Arabidopsis thaliana: one gene and its partners. The protein of the gene in region 1 interacts with the protein of each later gene in a pairwise test. Each region holds a gene or a part of one and is shown on either strand. Other genes may lie near its edges. The genes, in order: CEV1, GONST5, AT5G35460 and AT1G14020.

What was found.
Region 2: the proteins of CEV1 (region 1) and GONST5 interact in a protein complementation assay, tested with the Arabidopsis thaliana proteins (one large-scale study listed by BioGRID).
Region 3: the proteins of CEV1 (region 1) and AT5G35460 interact in a protein complementation assay, tested with the Arabidopsis thaliana proteins (one large-scale study listed by BioGRID).
Region 4: the proteins of CEV1 (region 1) and AT1G14020 interact in a protein complementation assay, tested with the Arabidopsis thaliana proteins (one large-scale study listed by BioGRID).

What each region holds. Positions count from the first base shown.
Region 1 is NC_003076.8:1,529,601-1,537,081, forward strand, and holds CEV1 (Cellulose synthase family protein), read right to left. Parts: upstream 5,959-7,481; 5' UTR 5,648-5,958; intron 5,538-5,647; 5' UTR 5,491-5,537; coding exon 5,467-5,490; intron 5,295-5,466; coding exon 5,099-5,294; intron 4,981-5,098; coding exon 4,775-4,980; intron 4,682-4,774; coding exon 4,579-4,681; intron 4,467-4,578; coding exon 4,289-4,466; intron 4,181-4,288; coding exon 3,914-4,180; intron 3,814-3,913; coding exon 3,468-3,813; intron 3,388-3,467; coding exon 3,250-3,387; intron 3,162-3,249; coding exon 3,036-3,161; intron 2,955-3,035; coding exon 2,742-2,954; intron 2,616-2,741; coding exon 2,354-2,615; intron 2,191-2,353; coding exon 1,988-2,190; intron 1,892-1,987; coding exon 1,541-1,891; intron 1,386-1,540; coding exon 801-1,385; 3' UTR 532-800; downstream 1-531. Other genes in the region: RUL1 (Leucine-rich repeat protein kinase family protein), read left to right, coding at 1-417; AT5G05180 (myosin heavy chain, striated protein), read left to right, coding at 7,324-7,396. UniProt on the Arabidopsis thaliana protein: Catalytic subunit of cellulose synthase terminal complexes ('rosettes'), required for beta-1,4-glucan microfibril crystallization, a major mechanism of the cell wall formation. Involved in the primary cell wall formation, especially in roots.
Region 2 is NC_003070.9:7,676,535-7,680,351, reverse strand, and holds GONST5 (golgi nucleotide sugar transporter 5), read right to left. Parts: upstream 2,145-3,817; coding exon 2,031-2,144; intron 1,935-2,030; coding exon 1,685-1,934; intron 1,590-1,684; coding exon 1,382-1,589; intron 1,200-1,381; coding exon 968-1,199; intron 877-967; coding exon 655-876; 3' UTR 509-654; downstream 1-508. Other genes in the region: AT1G21866 (Plant thionin family protein), read right to left, coding at 2,572-2,853. UniProt on the Arabidopsis thaliana protein: GDP-mannose transporter that may be involved in the import of GDP-mannose from the cytoplasm into the Golgi lumen.
Region 3 is NC_003076.8:13,670,546-13,676,015, reverse strand, and holds AT5G35460 (uncharacterized protein), read right to left. Parts: upstream 3,528-5,470; 5' UTR 3,419-3,527; coding exon 3,338-3,418; intron 3,238-3,337; coding exon 3,118-3,237; intron 3,032-3,117; coding exon 2,974-3,031; intron 2,882-2,973; coding exon 2,781-2,881; intron 2,702-2,780; coding exon 2,606-2,701; intron 2,518-2,605; coding exon 2,424-2,517; intron 2,191-2,423; coding exon 1,953-2,190; intron 1,828-1,952; coding exon 1,470-1,827; 3' UTR 513-1,469; downstream 1-512. Other genes in the region: AT5G35450 (Disease resistance protein (CC-NBS-LRR class) family), read right to left, coding at 5,331-5,470. UniProt on the Arabidopsis thaliana protein: Glycerophosphocholine acyltransferase (GPCAT) that utilizes acyl-CoA to acylate glycero-3-phosphocholine (GPC), forming lysophosphatidylcholine (LPC).
Region 4 is NC_003070.9:4,800,978-4,805,885, forward strand, and holds AT1G14020 (O-fucosyltransferase family protein), read left to right. Parts: upstream 1-1,742; 5' UTR 1,743-1,952; coding exon 1,953-2,211; intron 2,212-2,291; coding exon 2,292-2,359; intron 2,360-2,444; coding exon 2,445-2,533; intron 2,534-2,625; coding exon 2,626-2,788; intron 2,789-2,895; coding exon 2,896-3,185; intron 3,186-3,274; coding exon 3,275-3,479; intron 3,480-3,586; coding exon 3,587-3,744; intron 3,745-3,866; coding exon 3,867-4,134; 3' UTR 4,135-4,398; downstream 4,399-4,908. Other genes in the region: AT1G14010 (emp24/gp25L/p24 family/GOLD family protein), read right to left, coding at 312-521, 607-813; LSMT-L (Rubisco methyltransferase family protein), read right to left, coding at 4,516-4,731, 4,812-4,908. UniProt on the Arabidopsis thaliana protein: Glycosyltransferase involved in the formation of rhamnogalacturonan I (RG-I) oligosaccharides in the seed coat mucilage, which is a specialized cell wall with abundant RG-I. Transfers the rhamnose residue from UDP-beta-L-rhamnose to RG-I oligosaccharides.

The DNA of each region.
Region 1 (7,481 bases):
ACCATTGGCTACAATGCTCCTGAAGTTATTGAGACGAGGAGAGTCAGTCAAAGATCAGACGTTTATAGCTTTGGTGTGGTGATTCTCGAAATGCTAACCGGGAAGACACCTTTAACTCAGCCTGGTCTCGAGGATGAGCGTGTCGTCATTGATCTTCCGAGATGGGTTCGGTCTGTTGTGAGAGAAGAGTGGACTGCAGAGGTTTTCGATGTGGAGCTCTTGAAGTTTCAGAACATTGAAGAGGAGATGGTTCAGATGCTTCAGCTAGCGTTGGCCTGTGTTGCAAGGAATCCAGAATCGAGGCCAAAGATGGAAGAGGTCGCGAGGATGATTGAAGATGTGAGGAGATTGGATCAGTCTCAGCAGTTACAGCAAAACAGAACATCCTCAGAGGCTACTTCCAATGTCTCTGAATGATTCCTCATTCCGACCAAAAGTTTCTTTGATCAATTCTACTTCTATCTTATTACTTTTGAATCCCAGTTAAAAATAATTTCTCTTTGCATCGTAGTTTAGTGCTTATGATCAAACGTAACTGCTTTCACTAATGAAAATTGAAAAATCATAACCACTGCTTTAACTACAGAAACAAAAAAATATTCGCTTTCACTTTAATTATAACTTTCCAAAGTAACTAGAGTAAGATATATTCTACACATAAATTTATGACACCAAGACAGAAGAACGAACAGACAGATACACACAACAAAAGTAAAAAAGTGAACAAATAAAACAATGAAAAATAATTTAAATTCTGTGTTTTTTTTAACCCTCAAAACAGGTAAATATTTGCTCGCTTCTCAACAGTTGATTCCACATTCCAGAATGTCCGGGCCAGTGACTCGGCTAGTGAAGGGATCAATCCTAACCCACAACAACGAGAAGATAGAAGCCAAGAGAACAGACCAGACCACAACAATGGTAGGAGTCCGGTTCTGTCGACCCATCAAACCCTTGAGGAAAGGGTACAAGTGAACAATCACCCAGAAGGCAAAGAACAACTTACCAAAGAGTGGTCCCCATGATTGGTATCCACTGTTGATAGCATAAGAGACTCCTGCAACAACTCCCACTAAGTTTACAATGAGCAGCGTCGTTGGCGGAATCAGAAGTGTTGTCCATTTGAACAAGTAGAGCTCAGCAAAGTCTCCGTCTTCATCTGAAGCTTTTGAGGTAACTGTGAAGTTTGTGTCAATACCGGCAAGGACTTTGAGGATACCTTGAAACACAGCGAATAAATGAGCGGATACTCCACCAATGACCCAAAACTGCTCGTTTCTCCACCATTCGTCTATGCCTACGCCACTCCACCTCATTTCTAGTATACCCGTGGCGAAAATGGAGAGAAAGAGAGACAGAAACCATATACTTGCAATGTTACTAATCTGCAAAAGAGGAACAATAGAACCAGCTGATCAGGATTTGGAACCGTAAATAGATGACAAACACAACATGGTTTCAGTTAAACAGAACGTAATTAAGGTTTGTTCTAGAGATAGAGATAGAGATAGAGATAGATAGACAGAGAGAGGTGTCAAACCTGAGGAATAATAAACTGGTTGGTGAAGAGACAAACGGCTGGCAATGTACAATACATGAGAAGAGGAATGGAGGTGATAGGGTAGATGGTGGTGTTCACATACGCAAACCTCTCAAGAAATTTTAGCCTCCCATTGTAACCATACCATATAGGACAATGCCGACTGAAGAGAATCTCAACTGAACCTAAAGCCCACCTCAGCACTTGGTTCAGACGATCTGAAAGATTGATAGGAGCAGAACCCTTGAAAGCTGGAAGCTTAGGCATGCAGTAAATGGATCGCCATCCACGGGCATGCATTTTGAACCCAGTCAGAATATCTTCTGTCACAGAACCATAGATCCATCCAATCTGAAGAAAGACAGCGGAAAATATAAACAAAGTGAATGCCAAAGTGGATATGTCAGAACAATGCAGATTCATGTAGGAGTTCAAATGAGATTATACCTCCATTCCCCAATCTGACTTATCCTCATAACCACAACTAATGACATGGATAGCCTCTTTGAGAAGGTTTTCTGGAGTTGCTGAAGGAGGAACACCACCATTTTCCATTAGGGTAGAAGCAACAAAAACAGCAGACTGTCCAAATCGCTTCTCCAGGCTCATTTGCGACATTAAGAGCGCCTTTTCATCATCAAAACCAGCACCTAAGTTTCACAAATGCCAAATAGTTAAGACATGATGAGATACCTAGTATGGAAACTATTTAGACAACTGTCAACTATAAATAATCCCCTCCCCTGGATCAATATTTCAAACAGCAACATATGGGTATAACGGAAACCAAAGAAGAAATAAAAACAGTTGTACCTTCAACTCCCTCTTCTATGTCATCGAGGTTGAATACAGGAACAGTTGAGTCAGTATGCCTGCCTGATTTCTTTTTGTCCGACTCTTTCTTAGCTTTGGAATTCTTCTTTCTTGATCCACCACAGAGCTTAGATAAAAGACTTGGCTTCTTGTGTTTTACTTTTATTGGAGGTTCATAACCGTATAATGCTGTTCTGTTGAAAACACATCCAGTTCCGACATATACAGGTCCTTGAATCCCATCTAAACCTCTCAAGTTAATCTGGAAAACATATCATGGAAAAATTACGACAAACTCAAGAAACTGTGAGTTTAATGTATATTCGTGTCTAAAAGCAATTTGAAAGAACAAGAAAATTAGACGCAAGTATAGGTAAGTGTGACTTACATCAAAGAACACGGTATTACGATTAGCATATCTATCGTTCTTATCGATACCATCAAATCTTTGTGGGAACTGAACATAACAAACTTGCTTCCCGAGGTTTGGGTCCATCAGGAAGCACATTGCTTCTCTTAAGGCTTTGCTGTTATTTATGTAATGATCACAATCAAGATTCAAGATGAAAGGTCCATTGGTAAGAACTGCTGAAACTCTCACCTATTCATTTGAAAAGTACCCAGATTAGACTAACAAATTGGTCAGAATGAAGAAGTCAAAAATCCAAGATCAGAAACTTACCAGTGCATTCATAGCACCAGCCTTTTTGTGGTGCTGGAATCCTGGTCGCTTTTCTCGAGAAACATATACCAAACGCGGGAGCTCATTGCCCTCTGCATCAAGTCCACCATTTTGCCCTAAGAAGACCTGCATTCAGCAAATGGTACTTCAATAATGAACTTCTAGAGAGAAAGAGAGAGCATTCTCGATTCCATAGTTAAAACCAATTTCTTACCTGGATCATTCCTGGATGGTCCCTTGTATTATTTCCAGGCCACGGTGTGCCATCTTGCATAACCCACCCTTCTTCAGGACATTTTAGGGCTTTGGAAACAAGTGCATTGATTCGGATTTTAAATTCCTCATATTCCCTCTGAAAGAAAATAAAAGGTCAATATAGCATACACTAAAATCAAAGTGAGGGTGACTAGATGACTAAAACTACAAACTTACCTTCATAGCTCTACGATCTTTGACAAATGATGTCTGAACTTTATCCTTCAAGTAATCTATTTTCGCAGCAAAGTACCATTCTGGTGCACGAGGCTCTATGCTATATTTCTTGCAAAATGGTACCCATTTACGAGCAAACTCTGATGTTTCTGCAAGTGATTCAAATGATAACATAGCAGCACCATCATCAGAAACATAACAGGACACCTTGTCAACTGGGTAGTCAACAGCCAGAATAGAGAGCACTGTGTTGGCTGTCACAAGGGGTGGCTCCTTCAAGGGGTCAACAGTACTCACGAAAATGTCAACAGCAGCTAACTGTGATGGCTCACCTTCACGATCATATCTGTCCCAAAAATTGACCATGATCAAATTAAAATGGGAAACAGTATAGGCAAACAATCCTTTGAGTAATTGCTTCAGAAGAATGGGGAAATAGAACTTACCTTAAAGCAAGCCTGTCGAGGTAGGTTTCACGGTTCACAGGAAACCACTTGGGAAACTGATCCAAAATCCAGGATAAGGCAAACCAGATCTCACATATCACAGAGACCAGCCATAGAGCAAAGGCATTTGGCACTGGGTTTGTTATACGGTAATGCAAGAAGAGACAAAGGATAACAAGCCGCAGCATAATAACCATTCTGTAAGGATTGATCCGTGATGAAGGAATTGAAACTTTCCTTGACAGAGGCTGCCTCGCTTCGTCATTCCTGTACAATAAATAAAGAATTGGAAAATGAGTATCAGGACATTGCTTAATAGGAAAAACGCTCGGTACACCACGACAGAACAAACAAGATTACAAAACAAGAACTCACAGCAGAGCCTCATCTGCTAGGATATCTGTGCTGGCATCAATATCTACTCCACCTCTTTCAGAAGCAGCCTGCGTGCTGACAGGACCAGTATTCTTCTCTTGCTTCATTTTCCAGCCATCAACTCTCTCCTTCCAAGCTACATTCCCGAGTCCAACAGGATCCACAATCCTTCTATTTGCTGCAGCGTGAATGACAACAACAGATTTTATTGTTTAGAGTTTTGACATAAAAGAGAAGCCTAGGTACAAATATATGTGTTGGCGAGAGAGTTAGAAATAAAGGATATTTACGTGATTGATTGACATCTGATGAATAGGGAAGGCGCTTTCCCCCAGCGATAGTAGAAGATACAGAGAGGCGTTCAGGTGAGGCAGCAGAAAACTCTCCTGAAGTCTGTAAATAAGCAAATGACAAAATCAGATTCCAAAACTAAATTGCGTGAGGATGCGAATGCTTAAGAGGGAAGAATGAACAGCAATGCCTTACATCTTGTCTGCTCGTGAGACGAGGAAGATGATTGTGAGAGACCTCTTTATCATACTGGGGTTCCCCCATTTCCTCTCCCTTCCCACGAGTAAGATGCCAACCAAGCATCCGCTCTGAAATTTTCTCCTTCTGAGGGTAGTTGAACTCAACAGTACCTTCATCAGCTAAGCCATCCTCGTCTTTATCACCAGGAATAGCAGGACTACCTAGAATCAGAAATTAGCAAATTGCTATAAATACCAATCTGATCCAAAATTCAAAACATACTGATAAACTATCGATGAACAATGAAGACAGTATACTTCAGAAGGATCAAAAGAGAACCTTTGAGCCTCTTGTATCTGGTTTTGCACTGAGGACAAGATTGATTCCCATCTTTCCTCTCATACTCGTAGCAAGGCCGACAAACTGGGAATGAACAAATATCACAAGCCACAAAACGATCTCCATCAACAGTCTTGCCAACATTGTCACTACAGATCTGGCAAGTCTGCGGAACAATGTTCTTCATCGGCTTTCCCTACAAATCAAGTCGAATCAATGAAGCCAAAATTAGAAACCTCAACAGAAAATTTGAAATCAGATCTCTCCAATACACAATTCAACACCCAAATCAATCAATTTCAGTACATATAATTCCTGATTTCGATAAAGGTAAGTATAATGATGAAGCAAGAGTCAAAAAAGCATACCGCGGTTTCTCCTTCGGATTCCATTTGTCACTTAGTTGCTTCCAACACCGAAACGTCGGAATAGTTCAAATCTGATCGGAATTATCAAAAACAGAAACTACGATTAGATCTGAGGAGATCCGAGTAAAGGAAGTCAAATCTGAGAATGGATCATGAGTGTAAGAAGAGTTAAAAGCTTTACCATGAGATCTGAAGATGGAGTGTGGTGATGTGACTCTCTGAATCTCTCTCAATCTGGATCCAAGCTTTCTTCTCTACAGAGAGATAGTTTATAAGGAAGACGAAGAGGAGAATCTTGGGATGGCTAAGAAGATGCAAAGAGCAAGCTATTTGTCTCCTCTACTCGTCACTCTTCCAGATTTTTAAAATATTAATATATTTGTCACAAATCATAATCCAACCAAGCAACAACCACCACCACCACCGACAACTTCCACAGTCGATTTTTTTCTAGTTACAGTTTTACAGTGGCTGTAAAAAAAGTGAAAAAACGGCCGATAAACCTTTAAAATATCCTTAGAAATATATTATCATCGAATTAGTGACTAAATCAAAATAGTAATTGATATTTGATAGTGATATAACTAAAATAGAAGTGTGAAGAACACAACAAATCACAAGTAGTGGGGTAAAGGATATTCATCGTCACTAACTTTCTTACAGATAAAACTTAAAAAGTATTTGCCGACAAAAATAAAACTTCAAAATATTAATTAATCAACGGATTAGTCCAATGAATAAATCAAAATATATTGATAGTGATGCTTTACTTACTAGTATATCAAAATAGGCTAAAACCAGCGGGCTGAAAAAATAAAGGTCCAACTCTAGTATCATCAAGCCCAACAGAATCGAGAAAATGGGTTTGTTGGACTTTGCAGACAAAATTGGTATATGTTCGGTTTACGTTATTTACGAGAGAAAATTGAATCGAACCGAACCCAATAATTAATAGGTCAAACTTTGATAACTGGTGGTGCATGTGGAGATGTGTGGCCACTAGTGCAGCAAAGAACAGACTGTCAGATAGACAAAAGAAGAAAATGGCAAACATTTGAATCCCAAAGAGCGCCACTTTCTCTTCGCTATCCGACAAATCTTCCCTCCTCTTTGTCGTCCCTTTAAACCTTTCCACCTTCTGCTTCGTAACTCTCGTACCCTAGCAATCCTCTACTTAAACCTTCCTTTGTTTCTCCTTCACTTTTCCTGTAAATCTGCTCTTTTGTTCCCTCGATCATATCAATTTTCAAGGTCAGTGAAATCTCATGTTTATTTGGTCCTATGTGAATCAGATTTCAGGGTTTGATATTTGTTTGTTCCGTTGATGTGTTTTGTAGATCTTATGATCTGAGTTACTTGCTCTGTTTTTCTGAGATTTATGGAGGGTCTTTGTCTATGTTTCTTCACCGTTGCAAATGAGTTATAATTTCTGTTTACATGTAGTGAAAAAAGTTCAGTTCTGTGACATAAGAAAGTCTTAAAATTTACGCAACCCTAGTTTTTTTATTTTCTAAGATTTCAATTAAAGAACATTAGCTTGTCTCTTCATGATAGTTTTCCACTGATTATTATCACAACTTTTTTTTTTGTTAGATATTTTTAATCGAAATTATTGTAGAGATAAATATAAATACGTTTTTTTTTTTTTTGGTCAAAAAATATAAATACGTTTAGTTATAGCTAAATCTTAGGAGTATAAAAAAAAAAAAAGTAAATAAAAATCTTACCAGTTTTTATATCTCGTATATCTTCTGTATTTTTAGGGTTTTTCTGTTACATCATTCTATGTTTACGTTTCTTTGATTTTTTTTTGCTTGATCATTTTTAAGTTGATTCGCTTTTTGTTGTTTAAGTGTAATGGATTTTACAACAGTTGAGGTCCCAGATGAGTGGCCACATAATTCGAATTCCTTTGTGGACATCTCAACAGGTATAACCGTATAATTCATTCATGTCTTATTTTGGTTGTGTGCGTTTCCGTTCAAACGTAGAAATCTTATTAGACATATCAATTG
Region 2 (3,817 bases), on another chromosome or scaffold:
TTCTCTTTAACTCCTTTGACCTGGTTTCAGACTACTGTAGCATGAAGATTTTTTGAAAATTGATTTTTTGTAAGGGAAGGATATGGCGGTAAATTCAGCAACATAAGTTGAGGCCCACTTGAAAAAGCCCATTTTTTACTTTTGAGAAGCTAAAGCAACGAATTTGATGAGCTGTTTTGAGAGCTAAAATATTCGTTTCCCTTAAACACCGTCTTAAGCTCTTTCATGTATCAAGGCGGGAAAATGAATAATCATTTCTTATATATTGTCAAATTAACTTTCTATTTTCATCTTCTTTCAAAGATTCCCAAACTTGCACCATTTTGTCATGTATTAAGTCTCTGATGTTAGAACATGGCACTATGGCACAAACAAAATTGGAAGGAAAAATTAAAAAGCTGAGGTAAGTGAAAGCACTACCATAATTGAATACAAAAATGGGCCTGCTTTAAGTATCTTTGTGGTCATCTCTGAGTTGGTTTGATGAGGATAGATAATTTAATACAATGGAAACAAATAAAATGGCACTTCTCTAACTTCTCTAGTTTGAGTAAAAATAAACATATAGTTAAACTATAACTCTCTTGTGGATGTTCAAGATCAAATCTAACTTCTTTGTGTGCGTTCAATAGTCTAGTGACTTACCGATGATATTCAAATTTTACTCTCGAGTTTATCATTAACAAGAGGGATCAGTTCCATCTTGTTCCTTGGGGTACGAGGAGTCCTAGGAGTTCCGGGTTGTTGCTGAGAAAGCATGTGTCTTACATATCCGTAAAAGGTGCAGCCCACAAGTGTGATTCCGCAGCCAACAGCATTCATCGGTGATATCGGGTTTCGAAATATCATCCATGAAACAAACACAGCTACTGCAACCTGCAAATCACATACCATCCATCAAACATCTGAGTTATTGAAACTAGAATATAAAGATTAATGTTATGTGGTTTGGGATTTGTTCATTTACCTTAAGGTTTCCAGCTACATTGAATGTGACTGCTGTTGTGGATTGAATGACATAGAAGATGGAGAAGTTAAGACAGAAAGCTAGAACACCTGAGTTGAAAAGAATTATGAGAGCCGACCATGGAGATGGATGTGCTTCAAACCAATCCAAAATTCCATTCCTTTCTAGTAAAAATGCAGGTAACCCGAGAATCATGGTCGCGAAAGGCGCCATATAGTATACCGTGTTTATGCTACATAGAGAGACATGAAAATGAGGAGGACACAAACACTCAGTTCCATGAAATATGAAAAAGCAAATCAAGTATTGGACTATGAGAGCATGGCATGTCATTGAAACCAAATGTAAGTTTCACACATTCAACACCTATCATGTGAAACTGAAGATCAAAACCTCAGGAAACAGAACATTGACCTGTCAAATTTGTATCCATGAAGAAGAGATTCTGCAAGAATGGTCTTTGTAGAGGTAGCTAAACATCCAAACAAAGCAGCACAGAATCCAAACACATTAAAGCTAAGTTCTGTAATAGAAGTAAGAAGAATCCCTCCAACAATAGGCACCAATGACGCCCAAATACGCCAATCAAAATATTTCCTCCATACCAACCACTGTAACACAACTGCACTCAAAAAACCATTACACAAAAACCAATCAGAACAATAAAAAAAAATCACTTTATTTTGAAAAATTCTCAATCTTAAAAAAACCCTAAACCTGTTGTTGCAGGAGTTAAAGATTTGATAGTCTGCATAAAAGAGACAGGAATGTATCTAAGACTAATATTCCCCAACACAATGTTGATACAGAACACAAATGACATTGGAAAAATCCTCCTCCACCTATCTTCTGGATCAACCACAATCAAAGGTTTAAGCTTTAAGACTTTAATCACAATGTATGCTCCAATCGACGAACATATGAAATGAACACATGAAACTGATAATGGAAACTTGAAATCCAGTTTCTGCAAACAAGGAAAGGTACCAAATTTCAAACGCAGATCAGATAAAACAAACGAAAGGCTAAGTCTTTAATGATAAAAGTAAGAGACTTTTTAAACCTGAAAGATCCATTTGTTCATGATGATAACAGTAACGTTAAAACCCCACCATTGAAGAATCGATAACAGAGATCTGAACATAGTCCATTGACGCCACAGACTTCCTTCCTCCATTGATGGGTTTTAAGAAGTGAGTCAGAGAAGGATCCAAAAGATGAAACCTTTAGGAATGTGGCAATGCAAAAGCTAAATAAGAAACCCTAATTAAAGCGCCAAGAGAAACAGAGTAACGGTTCTGTTTTATATGCGAGAATTCTCTTTTTCTCTTTAGTAAGTTTCCGTGTAGTTAAATGCAAATATGTTTATGCAGCATAAATTATGCTTATACAAGTTACCAATTTTCAGTTGTTACATATATAAATATAAATAATTAGATTTTTAACAAATTTTCCGTATACAAGTAAATATTGTTAAAGATAAAAAATTATGGAAGAAGGATACATAAATACTTGAAATATTGATCGATACATTGATACAAAAAATCATAAATATATAACTTATGCATAGAGAAAGGAGACAAATTTTTTGTAATGTGGATCAATTAAGCGGTACAAATCCAGCTAAATGCTCTGCAGAACCTTTTTATAGGACCACCATTACCTCGAGGGACGATGTATCGCTCGTTGTTGAGAGGATCACATATAATCTTGCAAGGGTTGGCACATATGGCTGGAGTCGCTTTCTTTGATGCTTTCATGCACTGGTTCACGACACAATTTTTGACACACACATCTATCGAGTTGGAATGAGCTGAAAACATCATTGCAAATAAAATTACAATCATCAATACACTGCAGATTTTCTTTGACACTTGAGTTGCCATGTCGTAAGTATTGTGAGTCTGAAAATCTTAAATTGTAATGTTTTTTTTCTTTCTTTTTTCTTTTTGTTGTGGTTTTGAAACAAGATGATTTGGTGAGAATGTTGTGTTGATTATATAGTAAAAATAGTTTTAGCTGATTTTAGAAGTAACTAACTATTAGGAGGTCAACTTGTTTTCGTTTCTTTTTCTTGGCAAATATATCGATTGATTTCTGGACAACTTATATGTATTATACTGTTTTGGTCATCTAAACAACTATTTGCATGCTATGCATAAATATAGTAACACTAATTGCTCATATTTAAAATATTAGCCTGTACAACACATATCTTAGTGGCATTTTCTTCTTAAAATTCGTGACCACGTTTTTGTTACGAAAATCGTAATATGCACATGACATGGTAAAGAATACATACCGTTAACAAGGAATGATTACCTTTCACTGTACATAATTTTTTAAGATCATTGAATTTATCATTGGACACTAAAAATCTTTCCTTTTTTAAAAATGAAAAATAACAATTCCACCAAAAGTATCCTAAAAACTCAATGCCTAACTAAATCACATTGTTATTTTTCATGTGATTTAAATATTTTGGCGATCATCGGGGTACATTCTTTCTTTCAAACCTATAGTTTTTCTTAAATATGGTGAAAGATTCATCAGGAACAAAAAGAATACGTAATCCTTTTGTTTTGTCTATAATTTTTGAGTTGAATACATATATATATATATATAAGTAGGAAATTATGTACATTTGTTTATAAGAAAACGTAAGGAAAATATGTACTTTTGTTTATGAATAAGTAAGAGGTTCTAGATACATACAATACACTAAGGCGGATTAGATCATTTAATATGACTCCTCCCAGGTAAATATGTACATTTGTAAACATAATTTTCTTTCATATTGTCTTTATCGTCATTTTCCTCCATGAAAACACAATAAACTTTTTTTTCATA
Region 3 (5,470 bases), about 12 Mb from region 1:
TGTCAAGGTCTTAAGCGCATTTCGAGAAATTTTATTCATAAAATTAAGTTTTTTCATTGAATGAACAAAAAATGAGACTAGCGTAAGTGAGAAATATGCCAAGTGTTGTTACTATACTCTCAAAGGTTGATCGATTACCATCATGAATATTGATATCATGGACAACTCGGACCTGACAAAACACATGATCAAGATAATTTTTCAAAAAACATTGTAGTCAAGGACACACCAACAATATTTACATTGATTTTCTGTTTTCTTTCTCTGTTCAGTGCGGTATTTGGCATGTATCTTAATGCGACCTACTTTGTAGATTATATAATCAAAATCTTATTCCATTCATTTCATGTGATACACGACTACACGTCCTGGATTCCACCAAGACAAGGCTCACGGGTCCAATGCTTAGAAGCGAGCGATGGAAGCTTTTAGATGAGAAGTATTTGATTCTACAAACAACCTAGAACTCGCAAGAACAGATTTGATTCAAGATACAAAGTATTGAAGCAAGAAACAAACTGAATTTCAATTGATCAAAGCGTGAATACAAAGTAGAGAATCAAAGAGCTTAAATTGAAAAGTACAACAATGGTCTAAAACTTAGAAAAGGAAACCGAATAATGCGAAATAAAGAGAGGAGCGTGATGATTCTAGCCGTTAGGCTATAATGGAGGATCTTCGGTGATGGCGTCGAGAGCTAAGTTAAAGTCGCAGCTTCTAAACGTCGTGTAGTCTTTTCATGAGGGTGAATATAATCAGCAGAAAGTCTTCAAGTACATCAGGGGGCTCTTCGGTTTGGTTTGACTCAATTTGACCGTACGGTGCAAATTGGTGGTTCTTGAGTCTTCTTCCAAATCAGCTCGTTACAGGGGCGATTTGCATCGATCAAAATCCTCTTCATGGTCGATTTTTGAGTGAATTCTTTGGCGGAACTCAAGTTATTAAGCTTCATCTCCACTGAACAATAGTCGTATCGGACATGATGGATTTCATAATGCTATCGGCATACTTATTAAGCTTATTCCGCGGCTGGTAACGACATGTTCGAGAACTATGCACTATCAAACACATGAATGTTATGATCTTTAGTGATGGTTGTTTTGTACAGCAGAAACAGAAAACAAAATCCGCGTCTCAAGGAGAACTTATCCCAATCTACTTCGCTGAAATCCGAAGATTTTCCTTTCTCGAAAACGCGTTAAAAATATAGTTAAATCTCTCATAATGCAATTTTAAGGCCAGAATGTCCTAGCGAAACAGGATCAAAACTTTGGCTAAAGAGTAAATAACAAGTTTCTTTAGAAAAAATAAACTACAAGATCATTCACATACATTAAGCTTTTAGAATGATGTATAGCAACAAGAGAAACAAACAGTTATAGAACAAAACATGAGGAACAAAAAAAACACCAATCATGATTCACCTTTGAAAACTTTATTTTACATGTACCTTTTTGTTAGAACCATGATCATGTTTCAGTAGATTTTGGCTCATTCTCAGTCGGATGTGACACAGCTTCATGATGTAGTATCTGCTCCTCTATCGGCTGCATCTCAGCTTTCTTCTTCTTCTCTTTCTGGATCACTTGCCGTGGCATTACCTCTAGTAAAAAGCTCCCTCCGTTCCACACAGCCGCAGAAATCTTTAGGATCTGAAAGATCACATGAAGTCTATAAGATAGGAAGATCGGTACGGTCAATGCCATGGTTGCCACCGTGAAGATGGCCTGGAATAGGATGTACATCCATATACGATTCTGATCCCCTAGCAGACCGCTCAGCTGCCACAACTTATTGTTTGCCTTTTCAGCTTTCTTCGACAGCTCTCTGCACATACCAAAGGATTCCATCAATACAAGTGTTCACTCTATGGTAAGAACACATTACATTATGCTGTGACCTTAGCGATCAATATGAGGAGAACATTAACATACGGCGTAGACAAGAGATACCTGTAAGAAGTCATAACTTCAGGATCTCTAAGGAGTCTCTGCCTACGCAGGACATTGACGATTAGAAAATAGAGCACTTGCCAAAGAGTATAAACGACTAAGGGGACGAGAAACAGCCATGTGAATAGGTAAGCTTTGTCTTCAACATAAGGCCATGAAACCCTACGATCAGTGCCTACAGGGTGCATAGCTGCAAAAGTCGCTGGATTCCACCACCTAATCGTGAAAAACACGAGCCCTGAAACCAAAATTCATTACAATAATAAAGAAACAATGGAGAGAGAGAGCATAAAGCTTAACTATATCTATCATATGCATTACAACAAGGAACCATGTGTTTGAATTAAAAACGGTTGAGAGGGGAACAACAAGCTAAGAATTCATACAACTACTTTAATCAAAGCCGTCAACTTTAGCAATATGAATCAATAACATATCTTCTTCTGTCAACAAGAAGATTATAGAACTCACCAGGTAAGAGATGTATAAGAACACTAACAATCTTATCCGGCGAACTAAAAACCAGACTGCAACGCCAGACAATAATCGCCCACGCCAATGGTCCCTGCAGCACAAGACACAACCAATAAAATAAATCAGCACACACAATGACACAAAAGACTCATATACATACATGTAGTTAAAAAGCATACCTCAGCAAAGGAAAAGCAAACCATGAAAAGCTTTTCATTCTTAGGATACAGAAGAAGATCAACCAAGAAGATTGTATTGGCATAGTAGCAAAAGTCCTATCACATACACAAAAATTGTTTCAATAACAATCAAAACGACTGTTTCTTAATTCCAAATCCTCAAAAGAGACATTACCAGAAGATAATAATGCCATTTCTTAAACCGGTAATATATCCATCGAAGAGGAACAAAGATCACATAGAAGAAACAGTAAACTAAAGGAATGTCTTGAGGTCCTGAAAACGAAAACATCATCAACATCAACAACATTGAATTAAGAACAAAACACAAAAAAAACAAAAAAAAAACACAATTTCTTTGAACTCACTTGCACCAAGTAGGAAACAAAAACCTCCAAATCCAAGCACACCAACGAGATGTGTCACCTTTAAAACATTACAGAACCAAACATTTTCAAACCAAAGTAACTTAAAATCAAAACATGATTGAAGAATCAAGAGAGAAACCTAACCTTATTGATGAATCTCTCATGTTCTTCGGCTTGTTTAGCGATCTTAACGGCTTGTTTCGATAAGATCTCACGCGTTTGTACCGCTTGTTTAGACAACAACTCTCTCGTCTGAACAACTTTCTGTCAAAATCAAAAACAATTGGTCCACAAAGTCAAAATCAACAAAATTGGAACAAAAGAGAAACATCAAAAATGGTGAAAATCGAATCTGATGTTGTACCTTTGATCGATCTTTGAAACGTTGTTTAACAGCATCAAACGAGTCTAGTCCATTGGAGTTTGAATCTTCGTTATTCGCCATTATTGCGGTCAGATTTCTCTGTAGATGCTTTTGTCGTTTTTAAAGGAGAATCCGAAAACACTGAATTTTTCTGTTTTCAGGATATTTTACTTTATGCGGAATTAAAAATTTGGTGAAGGAAAATGACCCAAAAATCATTATTAAACTCTTTATATTCGTTACTATTTTTGTTCAGTTTTATAAAGTGGTGATTAATTACATGTAATCCAATAATTACATTCATAATTAAGTAATAAGGACTTTATGTTTTATCTTGGGAAATCAGATGGAATATTAGTCCTCAAAGTAAATTAATTCCATTAATTGCCTTTGGTGATTATATAATTTAAAGACTTTAATAAGAGAGACTGAGAAGGAGCCACGTGTCGAAAGTTGAAACTTCTAGGACCCTCTTTTGCGCGGGTCGAGAAATTTCCTAGCGTACACGTATTTTTCTACATTATTATAGTTAGAGGAACATTTTGTTTAATTGCATCTTGTATTAAAGAAAAAAAGTAAAAAAAGAATGCTGTGGTATAACTTCTTTACTAGGTGCCGACAAAAAAAAAAAACTTCTTAACTAGGTTTTATGAGTTCAAAACTAGAGTTTCTTGACAAGGTTTCACATGTTCCAGAAGCTTTAGTTTTGTTTTTGGATGAAGTTTGAAAGATTCAAAAGCAGTGTTGTAAAAAGCGGTCTAGACGGTCGTTTATATGCCGCTAAGCGTTCAGTTGACGCCTAAATAATCATCTCGACTGCCTAAAATAACATAAATTTCGTTTTAGTATATTTTTTTTATTTTTAACTAATATTGCTTAAATTTTATAAGTTTTACTTCTACACATGGTTATAAACATTCATATATTGTTGATATAAATTAAAGAAACATTTTTATCTAATTTTTGATTAGGATCCGATTAATATTTTCTAATATATAGTTTTATATGATTTTTATCTATAATATCATATTTAAAATGTTTTATGTCATAAACGGATAAACCACCTAAAATCACTTAAACCCCGACTAAGCGTTCTAAACGCTAGGCGTTGGGTCATCGCCCGTTTATCGCCTAACACTTTTTTGAACATTGTTCAAAAGTAAACAAATATACTAAAGCCATAGAATAAGGGGGTCTGTCTGAAGTTGAAACAAGATTTAAAAACAAAAGTACAAAAACTGGTGTTTTGTTCTGACAATCTTATGTTGTTCCTGAACAAGAAATCGACTAATCCCTCAACGACCCAAGTCTAAGTCACGAGTGCAAATATCACACAGTACTGATAAAAGAAATTAAAATGAAACAAAAAACTTGTACAAAATGAGATTGTTTTGTTTATTGTACATCAGTTTTGCTCGTCTTGGTTCAACCATGACTTCACTATGCGTACACAGTAAAAGAGGTGCAAAACTAACAAAACTTAAGCCTAAATGTGATAAAAAACAAATCTAACCAGATTTGATGTAAATAAAGCTTACAAAAGCTAGCTAACTGTGTTAAATCACAAACGAGAAAACAAAACAAATTCGTATAAACATAAATATCCAATTTTTACAATGAACTACAAAAAAAACAAGGTTCGTTTCTCAATTTTATGAAAGAGTTCTCAAGCACGTTCCATGCATCCACACCGAAAACAAACATCAATAAAAAGCATATAGTTCTGAGCCACAACATAACGATGCACTGAAAGCGAGAGCTCCAACGTAATCAGTAGTACTTCAGAATCTGTATTCCAGAGATTTATCAGTAGATGACTCTTGTGAAGCAGCCTCTATCTCTCCCAATATAAGAGAATTTGACTAGCTTCTTGTTCTTTCCTGCATCTATTTAAAAGATGATCGATTTTAGAACAATGTATAAAAGTTGAGACTGTCCACATGACTTTGAAAAGTGAACATTATTATACCGTTTATTTTTTACCTGCTACTGGTTATTCTCTTTGTTCGTCGTCACAGTTGAAAAATTGAACATCGGGAATGTGTTGGACTTTGTAGTAATCTTCTCCAACCAATTTCTCCTTCCACTCCCTCTTCATTCCTTCAATCTTCAGTTCCTTTAAGGATGTTACAT
Region 4 (4,908 bases), on another chromosome or scaffold:
CATATGCAAGACTGCAGACACAGGTCAGTAACACACGAGCCCTGTCAGCTTAATTCATGGCCTTGTTCTAACCAAACCAATGCACCAACATAACCTATAAACCAAGACTACATAGCATTTCTCACTTCAGATATAACTTTCCACTTTCCAGCACTATGTCTTGGTGTAACTTAGGCAGCTATCAAATTCTCACACATCCGGCGCAATGCTCTATTGTTCATGTCATTAGAAGCATCAAAATCTATTTCCTCTAAAGAGATTAGTTTGACTAAGTTAAGACTTCAAGAGTAAAGAAAAAGCGAAAAACTTACTTCGACTTGGCTCTTCTTTGCCACATTCGACCAATCCTTGGTATGAATACCCGTCCTCCAATCAAAGTCAATGATCAGCGTCGTCTCTGGTTTGTGATCGACGGCGGAGAAGCAACTTATGTAATCCCCTGTTTCCACAGCTACAAACGAGAATTGTCCCGATTCTACTCCGTCCGATTCGTGATAAGCCGTCCCTTGTGGCGATGTGACCTTAAAAATCAAACACATTGCATTATACTGAAATCGCCGGAAGAAGAAATTGAAGGGAAATGCGATCCGATCGGATGATTATTACCCTGACGGTGACTTTATGGGAAGAAGGAAGAGGATGATCCTCGTGAGGGTTTATAATGCTGTATTTTCCGATGGTCATTGCGTTTGCGTGAATCTCCTCTGAGATGCATTTCGTGTGCCCAGAAAGTAGCTCGTATCGTATAGAGAGTGTCACGGGAGATAAAATTGAGAGGATCAATAGTACGATCGAGCTCCGACGATGATTCATGACGGCTCCGATATAGAGAGAAATCGATCTGACGGATTTCAAAGTTTAGCTATTTTTCTTGTTAAACGGAAGGAAGGAAACAAAAGAAAGTCAACACGTGCATTGCCACGTGTTAGTATTTCATTCGTTAAAACACGTGGAGTACTACCCTCTGGAATTGGGCTTTAAAATTAAGGCCCATTAATAATGTTGGACCTATATACTTGTAGTGGATCACACTAAAGTAAGTTAGAAGTAAATAAAGAAACAAATAACACATCCAGATTTTATAATTCAAGCATAACTACATATGACTTGGTAATGTTAATTTTAAACTTAATTGGGAAATTTTGTTGAAAAGACAATTGTACTCGAGTTTTTAGTAAAGAATAAAATAGTAATCTTTCCTTGGAAGGGATGTTAATAATGCAACATTGAGGTACGTGTCATGATTTCGTTTCAGTTTTTGTTTTGTTTTACAACAGCTTGAAAATATCTGAATAAAGGAGATGAATATAAACAGTGGTTTGAATCGTGATTAGTGCAATAAATAGATGACAGTAATAAAAAAAGTACGGGAGAACAATTAGGTGAATCCGTTGACGAATGACAACGACTATCAAAAAGGCAAAATGTGTCATCTTTCTTTATATGTTTTTCAATGTTGAATATTCTTGAAATCTTTATTTATCATATGTTTTTCTGATCAATCATTATCCTTGAAACCTATTTTTTTTTTTTTTTGGTTATAGAATAATCTTTGACATTTAATGATATATATAATGAAACAAGTTAGGAAAATTGAAGCTTTCTGAATTAGGAAATAAATTGTGTAAGCAATAGAATGAGTTTCTTGGGAAAACAATAAATAGAAGAAGAAGAAGACACTTTGACGGTTAATTAACTTATTTTCCCATCTCTCACCGTTACCACCTCTTTTTTTTTTTTTTCCGTCTCGTGATTTTTTTTTCTTCTTCTGAATTTCGAAAGAAAAAAAAACTCCTCGAGATTCAAACCATTTGACACAAAGGAGAGAAGAAGCATTTCATTTCGCGTTTGTCATCTAATTTCAATTTCTGACATCTCACAAGATCGGAGAAATTTAGGTTATAGTAATTTTATTCTCATGAAGCGGCGACGACGATCGTCGGAGGAGGGAGATGGAAGTTAGATCGGAGAGTAATATTACTCAGGCGCGAAGCGATAAGCTTCCGCTTCCGCCGGCAGTTCCGAAGCCTCGTGTACAAGTATGGTTCGTTAGAGTTTGCTCCAGCATTTTGGTTTGGACGTGTTTGGTTCAGCTTTTCGCCGCCGGTGAGCTTTGGCATTCCCGGATCTTCACTGGTTTAACCAATCAGATTTCTAGATTCTCAGCCCCTGTTGAGCCAGTTCCATTGCCACCTCCTCTACCTCCTCCGAGTCAGTTTTCTCTCTATTTAGGGGACATTAGGGTTCGTTGGTGCTTGAGAGAGTTTAACGAGATTGTTGATTTTGTGCAGGGAATTATACAAGCAATGGTATTCTACTTGTATCCTGTAATGGTGGATTGAATCAAATGCGATCCGCGGTTGGTGACTTTGCTTTAATTCTCTTTTTCTTCTTCTTTCAGATTTGATGTTTTTCCAAATTCTGATTTTTATGTTGTGTTTCAGATATGTGATATGGTGACTGTTGCTCGGTTATTGAATCTCACTCTCGTTGTTCCAGAGCTTGACAAAACATCTTTCTGGGCTGATCCTAGGTACTCTATCTTTGGTGTTTATAGAATCACTCATGTGTCTTATATGCTTAACATTTTTTAGCAATCTAAAGTATCCTCATTTTTGTTTGCAGTGGTTTTGAGGATATTTTTGATGTGAGACATTTCATTGATTCATTAAGAGATGAAGTTCGGATCTTAAGGAGGCTTCCTAAACGGTTTAGTAGAAAGTATGGATATCAAATGTTCGAAATGCCTCCTGTGAGCTGGTCTGATGAAAAATATTACTTGAAGCAGGTTTGTCTTGTTTATCACTAGTTTTGCTGTTTTGGTTCCTTTGACTATCCTTGTTACAAGATATTACCTAACCATTTGCATATGTGATTGGTTAATTTCTTGTTCAGGTATTGCCTCTCTTCAGCAAGCATAAAGTTGTACACTTCAATAGGACTGATACCCGCCTGGCAAACAATGGTCTTCCGCTCTCTCTCCAGTGGCTCAGGTGCCGGGTGAATTTTCAGGGACTAAAGTTCACTCCACAGCTTGAGGCTTTGGGATCTAAGTTAGTTCGGATTCTACAACAAAGAGGGCCATTTGTGGCTTTGCATCTGAGATATGAGATGGACATGTTAGCTTTCTCTGGCTGCACTCATGGTTGCACTGAGGAAGAAGCGGAAGAGCTAAAAAAGATGAGGTTTCTCTTCAAAAGATTTCTCCTGAATTGGTGCTCTGGTTATAGGTCTTTTTAGTTGTTAATTCATAGGTCCATTCTGTGTTCTTTAGGTACACATATCCCTGGTGGAGAGAGAAGGAGATAGTCTCAGAGGAGAGGAGGGCGCAAGGGCTGTGTCCTTTGACGCCAGAGGAGGTGGCCTTGGTATTAAAAGCGTTGGGATTTGAGAAAAATACACAGATATACATTGCAGCTGGTGAGATTTATGGGAGCGAGCATAGACTATCCGTGTTAAGGGAAGCATTCCCGAGAATTGTGAGTCTACCAGTCCTGGTTTCCCTTTTCTTGCTACAAAGAATGCTCAACTGCATCGTCATTACAATGCACTTTTTCTTATCAGTTTTACTCACCTGTGGTTATAGGTAAAGAAGGAAATGCTATTGGAGTCAGCAGAGCTGCAACAGTTTCAGAACCATTCGTCTCAAATGGCTGCTCTAGATTTCATGGTATCTGTGGCCAGCAACACTTTTATTCCTACGTATGATGGAAACATGGCAAAAGTCGTGGAAGGTCATCGTAGGTAAATTATTTGTGGTGTCGAATGCATTCAATTTCATGACAACTAAAAAGGTGGTGTTAAGAATAACCAAACCTGTGATTCTATATAACCATTATTGGTCTATATCTGATTTGAATTTGCAGATACCTTGGATATAAGAAGACAATCCTGCTTGACCGTAAGAGACTCGTGGAGCTACTAGACTTACATCACAACAAGACCCTCACGTGGGATCAGTTTGCAGTAGCAGTCAAGGAAGCCCATGAGAGACGAGCAGGAGCACCTACTCATCGAAGAGTAATCTCTGACAAACCTAAGGAGGAAGATTACTTCTACGCAAATCCTCAAGAATGTCTTTGTGAAGGTACAAATTGCCACGACCTGTTTGGCCATAGAAATTTAACACATTGAAGTCATGTTTTTAGCATATTATATCTCATTGCTTCCGCAAGAGGACGGCATGTCAAACACTTGAACGGGAGCTGCATAGTTCCTTCCCTGAGTTTTTCCATTTTTGTTTGTAATTTTTTTCAATTTTCCTGCATAGTTGCTGATCTTGATTTATTTAGTTTTACGTAAATTAAGATGTAACTAAAAAGAAGATTATGTCTCATCTTATAGAATTTCAAAAAGCCTGCTTTTGGCAATAGCCTAACATACAAATTGTGGTCTCTCAACTCTGATGTCTTGAGGTTGATTCAAGTCTATGTGGTCTGAGACCAAACCAGTAAAGATTTTCTTTCTAGCCTTGAGTTTGTTCTGCAGGATAAGCTATACAAGCTAAGCTAATTCTCACTTGGTTTCCCAGAAGATAATATCCCCTTGTTCGCCAACCAACCCAAGATCTTTGAGCCTTCTCTCTTGGTAATACTCTAAAATGTCAAGTTCAAGCTCTCTATCCTTGAAGATTTGGTCGATTTGCTGAAGCACTCTCTTCTCACCAATCCTTATCTTGAGAGCCATTTCCAACCTAGGCTCAAGCTTTCCTTTGTCCAGAAGCTTCTCATCCTACAACAGACGATGAAGACGAGTAAGAAATGAGTGTTAAGCTGCAAAGACAGTACAAGTAAGAGCTCGAACATATATACCTCTTCAATGGTCGTATCAAAACCAGACAGAGCAGATTTGCAGGCATCTCTGACAACACGGCATATGAGTTCCTCGTTTGTACGACTTACAGGCAAT